Saccharomyces cerevisiae S288C: one gene and its partner. The main gene of each other region encodes a partner of the protein of the gene in region 2 in a complex. Each region holds a gene or a part of one and is shown on either strand. Other genes may lie near its edges. A codon is read from its position in the direction of its gene.

Region 1 (2,786 bases), 260 kb from region 2:
GTTAAAAAGTTCTTGAATGCTTTGGTATGGAGAAGAATCGTTCTACTAAATGCTAGTAATGAAGGAGATAAACTGCTTCAGCATATAGTCAAACGTGTTTTTGATGAAGAACTACCCAAAAATAATGATTTCCCCTTGCCCAGTGTGGATCTTTTATGTGACAAATCGTTACTGACGCCAGAATACATAAGCGAAACATATGGCAGGTTTCCTATTGATCAGAATGCCATACGTGAAGAGATATATGAAGAAATATCTCAAGTGGAAACGTTGAACTCAGACAACTCACTCGAGATAAAGTTGCACTCGACTATTGGTTCTGTAGCGAAAGAAAAAAACTATACCATCAACTATGAAACCAACACTGTAGAATACTAATATCTATAATACAATTTTACATATATATAATAAACTTTACTGGGGAATGATAATAATAAATATGTATATGCTATTATCGCAACTGCCTTCTTCCGATTTATATAAGATCCTTTTCTTTCTGTTCATTCGTTACCATCTACCCTAATTCTGACCATTGTTTCCGGCAAGGGTACCAGATCTTCATCCTCATCATTATCTTCATCATTCTTATCATTTTCTTGCGCTTCAAGACCTGTTTCATTTGATTGTTCAGATTCCTTTTTCTTAGAATCTTTCCACGGTCCTATCTCATAATCACCCTCTGCATATTGCAATAATCCCAAACTTGCTTGCGATATATTGTTTATTATAGAATCCCAATTGTTCATCAATTGGGCCACTGAATCCGCATTCATTCCCATTTCTTTGATCTGCTCATTCAACTCTGTTAGCTGAATTTTTAAGCCATCCGTTAAACTGGTTATCTTTTGTAATGACTGAAGTTCTTTTCGCTTTATAGCAATTTGTTCATCTATTGAATCCATAATAACTGTCTGAATTATGAGTTTTTCAAACCTATTCAATAGTTTTTTAGATATATTCAGAGGCAGGTATTCTTTTGTATTGTCGCCCTCTAACCTTTTGTAAGTACTTTCATATTTTTATTTTCGCGTTACACTAAATTCAAATATTAAAAAAGGATCGCTATTAATGTGTAGAAATTGAAAAAATTACATACAGAAGCGTATAAAATTCTTATCATCTATTTTCACCCTTCTACTGAGTTATTTCGGATATTTTACCTGCCGCAATGGTTCTACCGTCCTTTCTAAGAACAACTCTTCCCAAACGGTCATTTTCATGGGCAGTTAATAAAGGAATCCACCTCTTTACTTCAATTAGTTCTATTTCTACAAATGCTCGTTGTTTAGAGCCTAGATGTCTAATCTTTTTCTTGCTTGCAGTATTGCCCTTGTCTATAAATGAAATCAATCTTTTGATTCGAGCAGGTTGCTCCTTGACTCCGATGAAAAGAATAAACGGTGTTCCTGGCAGCAAAGGTCGGTTCATGTCAAAGGTGGTCAATTCCAGAACAAAACACTGTGCTGAATGAATGGACGAATAATCAACTGATGCTGCCAAATCACCATTTTGAATATCTTCTGGATAGGCTTTGCGCAATTTCAAAGTGACAAAATCACCCTTAATGGCAACATCTGTCTCTTCGTGATTCGTTGATTGGCCCTGTTGAGAACCAACCTGAATTTTATCCACAATACAACTCTGTTCCGACGGATATATTGTCAAAGATTCACCAGGTTGAATAGAACCTGATTCCAATTTTCCTGAAACTAGTGCTAAATCGTTACTTGTTTTTTTCGATGGGATGATCTCCAACACAGAAAACAAAAACGGATCATCTTTGTTAATTCCTTCATTCTCCTTTGAAATCTTGAACGCCGCATTTTCCAAAGTAGACATTAAGTTAGGACCATTGTACCATTGTCTCACTTCATCTGTATATTCAATTTTATAAACACCTTCTCCGGAAAAGCCACTGATAGGTACCCAATTAATATTATCCTCAAAAAACCCAATATCAACCAGATATGGCAACAATTTCGATTTAATCTCTTCAAACCTTTGTTGGGACCAGTCAACATTATCCATCTTATTCATAGCAATAATCAGATTGTGAATTCCAAGACTAGATGCCAGTAGCATATGCTCCTTTGTTTGCCCATCCAAGTCAAATCCTGATTCGAAAGCATTGGTGCTACAGTCTACACAAAGTATAGCCATATCTGCTTGTGATATCCCCATTATAGCGTTTGGAACAAAATCTCTATGGCCTGGCGCATCCACAATAGTAAAATTTGCCCTATGGGTAGAGAAATGCGATGTACAAATTGACACTGTTACACCACGTTCGCGCTCTTCATTTGTCTGATCCATAATCCATGCAAATTTGAAGGATGACTTACCCATAGTTTCACTCTCTCTTTGTAGCTTTCTCAGTTGGGATTGGTTGACAATGTTCAGATCATAAAGTAGTCTGCCCATTAGAGTTGATTTTCCCGCATCAACATGACCAAGAACAACAAAACTTAAGTGAGGTAAGGCAGATTTAACAAATGCAGAAATATCATGAGGTTTCTTTGGTTTCGTTGGCACCGTAGTCTTATAGTATCTTTGAACTGTCTTTTCATCATTGGCTTCCTCACCATTGCGTTCACCCTCACTTTCTTCCTCGTCAAGCCAGTCTGGAAGCCGATCATTTGGCCTTTGTTGCGAAATTGAGATGTTTGCCAGTTTTTGAGTAACATTCGCACTCCCATTAGCAGCAGCAATTGGCTTCTTTGGTGTCTTCTTCTTCTTCAAAGTTTTCTTCAATTCCGCCAGCGTGCTTTCCAAATCGAAATTGTTGT
Region 2 (3,951 bases):
TTTCTGATTAATATTTATTTATTCTAGGTACATCAAGAGCAGAACAAATTTGCCAACTTAAACTACATATGCTGAACAATATTCTCTTTTTAATTTCTAGCTTTTAACGCAATGACCATTGTGGACAATGCGAAATATGTCAAAAAAAAAAGCAGCCAGAAGAAATTCTTCGGCAAAAGGAAAACTACTATACAGATTGAGAAGCATAGAATTAGGTATTAGTTACATCAGTAACGGGGATAACAAAAATAAAAGGGGGAAATGATGACGATGTTCTTGCAAGTTTTATTAAATTGTGCTTTGGAAAGAAAAAGATGAATATATCTTGCAGGTTAGAGGGTATTTCCTAGTCAAGTCTAGCATATATGAGGTCATACGACTACTTGAATAGATTCGTTGGAAGAGGAATTATTGTAAATATTTGAAGATGCTGTTTCTGTGGCAATCACGCCGGCGTTATCGTCCGAAGGCAAAACGTCTTCACTGTGGTAGAGGCCTAGCGCCTTGTCATACTTGTAATAACCCGAAAATGATTCCACGTGGTTGAAATAGCGGGATTGTCTGTATCTTCCACCTAAATAAAAGTCGGCGGAAAGAATCATAAATATGATACCAAACCAAAATGCTAGCAACCATTCGAAACAAGCACTCTTAGATCTATCATTGATAGCACCAAAACAAATGGCCCATACAACTGCGAGAGTTAACCATATAACTTTTAGAGTTGCACTGATGGTAAATTTATTCCATACATGGCCTTTCCATTTATACCAAGGCAGCTCATCCACAGTGTTATAATCTTGGTTAAAGCTTTTTTCAGATGATTGAGGATTGAAATGAGGGCTGGCTAGGGGGTGGACTGAGGCATAGTGCCTTCCCATGAGGAAATACTCTGCAATCAAGCAGCAAGTGGATAGGAACATGAAGACGACGAAAACAGAGACCATAGCAATGTGAACGCGATGGTACAGGGCGGTTGAGAAGATGGAACTGAATAAAAGGGCTAGTTCACCAATGCTGCCGAGAACAAAAGCTGCGAAAATCAGGTTCCGTTCATCCTTTGTGTAATATGGAGGCATTAAGTATTTACCGCTGTGCAATTTCTCAGCATAAGATGTGGAATCAGAGATAGAAGGGTCTTTTTTTTTCAGTTGGAAAGGCAGATAGCCGGATCTTTGAAAAAACTCAAGGGCAACAGTGATTACATAGCCTAGACCCTGCCAGCCGGCGCACGATATAAACAGTGGCCTTAAATTAGTGGCACCTATATCTGAAATGTACACAGGGAATTGCTCCGAGTGCATGAACCAATATATGGGATGGCCTTGACTGGCCCAGCAAATAAGCATGGCTATCAGCATACCATACCATGGAATGAAGGCAATCCAGGGTACTATGAACAGCCAGTTACCTGGACTTTTAAATTGAATCATGCTATTGCTTGTACCTTCTATGTGTTTTTACTATGTAGCAGAACTTTTTACTATGAATGTTAAAAGTATCTAAAGGAAAAAAAATCCCGCAAAAAATTGTGTCTTATTATTTAGGTTTTTAGTTGTCCAGATGTTAAATCAGTAAATCTCAACTTCAGGGAATAACTATATTTATAAACTGAATGCCCCTAAGAAGGAGTGAAAATTCCGGTTTCATTCTCCTTCGCTTAGATGACAAATCTTCCAGGCTGAAAAAAGTTGCTATTTTTCCAGTTTTTTTTTTTCATCCATTTACTTTACTGCCGCGGATCCTTCAATTGAACAGAGCCCTTAAGCCGCAGAGGGGTAAGAGATCTTCGTTTTTGAACAGCCGTGGAAGATGTTTAGAGTTGGATATGGCTGGCAAGACCGTTGTGTTAGTCTTCATTGATAATCTTGGGCCTTATCCCGTCCTACTTGCACTATTATAGTGGAAATGCGATATGTCCGGTGCGTCATAGAGGAACGGAGGCCCTTGCTTGATTAGTAGCTACTCCGATTAAATGCGGTAGTGCCGCGCGGGTAACAGAACAGCGAGTTTTTCCTGTTTTCTTTTCCGTTCTTTTCCGTTTGTTTCCGTTCTTTTCCGTTTTTTTTTTCCGTTTTTTTGGTTTGTTTTGGTGAGCTGAGGCATCAACAAAATAGATATCTACAGTTTGGGGTGGGAATAGAGCCAGGTTGATCAACGTATGGAAAGAGCAACATAAGGGATTGTTGACACAAAAAATGGATTCTGCAAGCAAAGAGGAAACATTGGAAAAACTTGATCAAGAAATTACAGTGAACCTGCAGAAGATAGACTCTAACTTGAGTTTCTGCTTTCATAAGATCACCCAGGACATCATCCCACACGTGGCTACATATTCAGAAATATGTGAGCGGATCATGGATAGCACCGAATGGCTGGGGACTATGTTTCAAGAGACTGGGCTGGTGAATTTGCAGGCAAATGCAGCTGCACCAGTGGGAAACGCTCCAGTCAAAAGCCTTGTGAGCAATAATGTTGGTATATTTCCTACATCCGCTGAAGAGGCGAGTAGGCAGTCCCAGACAGACAATGGGCCTAACGAGGCAGATTCAGCTGTACATGTCAACCGGGATGTCCATTCTATGTTTAATAACGACAGTATAGATGATTTCCACACAGCGAATATAACATCCACGGGACAGATATTGAAACTTCCGGACTCTAGCGACGAAGATACTGGTTCAGAGGCGGTGCCTTCAAGGGAGCAAACAGACCTTACAGGCGAGGGTCATGGTGGAGCTGATGATGAGCAAGATGAAAGTACAATACAGAGACAAAGCCGCAAAAGAAAGATTTCGCTACTTTTGCAGCAGCAGTACGGGTCTAGTTCCAGCATGGTACCGTCTCCGATTGTGCCCAATAAAATGCGGAAGCAACTGGCTCATGAAGAACATATTAATAACGACGGCGATAACGACGATGAGAACAGCAATAATATAGAGAGCTCGCCTCTGAAGCAGGGGCACCACCACCCGAAGGGACAAGCGGATGATAACAACGAAGGGCCCGATGAAGAAGAGAGTACGAAAGAAGTACCAAAGCCTGGGACCATCATTCATTTTTCTACGAATAGATAGAATAAATAAGTACATACAATTTTTACTAGTGATGAATATCAGAACGCAGGGTAATGGGCCCGCTATATTTTTTCTTCGATATAGGGAGAGCCACATTCAGAATATTCAGAGTATTTGCATGTAGAAATTTATTCTAAGTGCGCCAGATATATGCCGGGAGAGGTCATTAGAAAACATCTGTTTGTGTTTTAACTTGAATTACAATAACAATAATACCAGTTTTATATGGGGAATATAATGTCAGCTAGTTTTGCGCCTGAATGCACTGACCTGAAGACGAAATACGATAGTTGTTTTAATGAATGGTATAGCGAAAAATTCCTGAAGGGAAAATCCGTTGAGAACGAGTGCTCAAAACAATGGTACGCTTATACTACATGTGTCAACGCAGCTCTCGTCAAACAAGGTATTAAGCCTGCTCTAGACGAAGCTAGGGAGGAGGCGCCGTTTGAAAATGGCGGCAAACTAAAAGAAGTTGACAAATGAAGTATATATTTTAGCACAGAATGTGCATTATTCAACATGTAAATACTAATACTGCAATATCGACTTATAATAATGTATAGTGATCCGTATATTAATAGATCTGTTTCAATTCTTTACCTTTTTAGGATATCCGTCACCCGTGATTCCGTCGGAGGTGAGCACTCGCCCAAATAAATAACGGGAAATGGTGGCAAAAAGTAGTGGCGGGAAAAGGAAAAATTTTCGTTCTCTCCCATATAAACGTTTCATTCCTTTTCCTAAGTCTTTTACAGTAATTTCAGAAACATTCGTATTTTATATTTGATCTTTTGAAGCTACAAGAAAAACTCTTACCAATTACCCCAAAAAAATCACCATCATAAAGTACTTACATATTTATTTTTGTTTG

The links. The genes of interacting proteins can lie anywhere in the genome.
Region 1: the proteins of ASK1 (region 2) and DAD2 are in contact, whole or in part, in a cryo-EM structure (PDB 8Q84), measured with the Saccharomyces cerevisiae proteins. Residues at the interface, in NP_012872.2 of Saccharomyces cerevisiae: Lys6 (codon at 2,214), Glu7 (codon at 2,217), Thr9 (codon at 2,223), Leu10 (codon at 2,226), Leu13 (codon at 2,235), Asp14 (codon at 2,238), Glu16 (codon at 2,244), Ile17 (codon at 2,247), Asn20 (codon at 2,256), Leu21 (codon at 2,259), Lys23 (codon at 2,265), Ile24 (codon at 2,268), Asn27 (codon at 2,277), Leu28 (codon at 2,280), Phe30 (codon at 2,286), Cys31 (codon at 2,289), Lys34 (codon at 2,298), Ile35 (codon at 2,301), Asp38 (codon at 2,310), Ile39 (codon at 2,313), His42 (codon at 2,322), Tyr46 (codon at 2,334), Ile49 (codon at 2,343), Arg52 (codon at 2,352), Ile53 (codon at 2,355), Ser56 (codon at 2,364), Thr57 (codon at 2,367), Trp59 (codon at 2,373); in NP_013009.1 of Saccharomyces cerevisiae: Ile4 (codon at 893), Asp5 (codon at 890), Ile8 (codon at 881), Lys11 (codon at 872), Arg12 (codon at 869), Glu14 (codon at 863), Leu15 (codon at 860), Leu18 (codon at 851), Gln19 (codon at 848), Ile21 (codon at 842), Thr22 (codon at 839), Thr25 (codon at 830), Asp26 (codon at 827), Leu28 (codon at 821), Lys29 (codon at 818), Leu32 (codon at 809), Thr33 (codon at 806), Leu35 (codon at 800), Asn36 (codon at 797), Ile39 (codon at 788), Lys40 (codon at 785), Met42 (codon at 779), Gly43 (codon at 776), Ala46 (codon at 767), Asp47 (codon at 764), Val49 (codon at 758), Ala50 (codon at 755), Met53 (codon at 746), Asn54 (codon at 743), Trp56 (codon at 737).

Annotation. Positions count from the first base shown.
Region 1 is NC_001143.9:595,921-598,706, forward strand, and holds DAD2 (Dad2p), read right to left. Parts: upstream 903-2,786; coding exon 501-902; downstream 1-500. Other genes in the region: NUP133 (Nup133p), read left to right, coding at 1-378; ribosome dissociation factor GTPase HBS1, read right to left, coding at 1,135-2,786. UniProt on the Saccharomyces cerevisiae protein: Component of the DASH complex that connects microtubules with kinetochores and couples microtubule depolymerisation to chromosome movement; it is involved in retrieving kinetochores to the spindle poles before their re-orientation on the spindle in early mitosis and allows microtubule depolymerization to pull chromosomes apart and resist detachment during anaphase.
Region 2 is NC_001143.9:338,794-342,744, reverse strand, and holds ASK1 (Ask1p), read left to right. Parts: upstream 1-2,198; coding exon 2,199-3,077; downstream 3,078-3,951. Other genes in the region: SFK1 (Sfk1p), read right to left, coding at 372-1,433; MDM35 (Mdm35p), read left to right, coding at 3,303-3,563. UniProt on the Saccharomyces cerevisiae protein: Component of the DASH complex that connects microtubules with kinetochores and couples microtubule depolymerisation to chromosome movement; it is involved in retrieving kinetochores to the spindle poles before their re-orientation on the spindle in early mitosis and allows microtubule depolymerization to pull chromosomes apart and resist detachment during anaphase.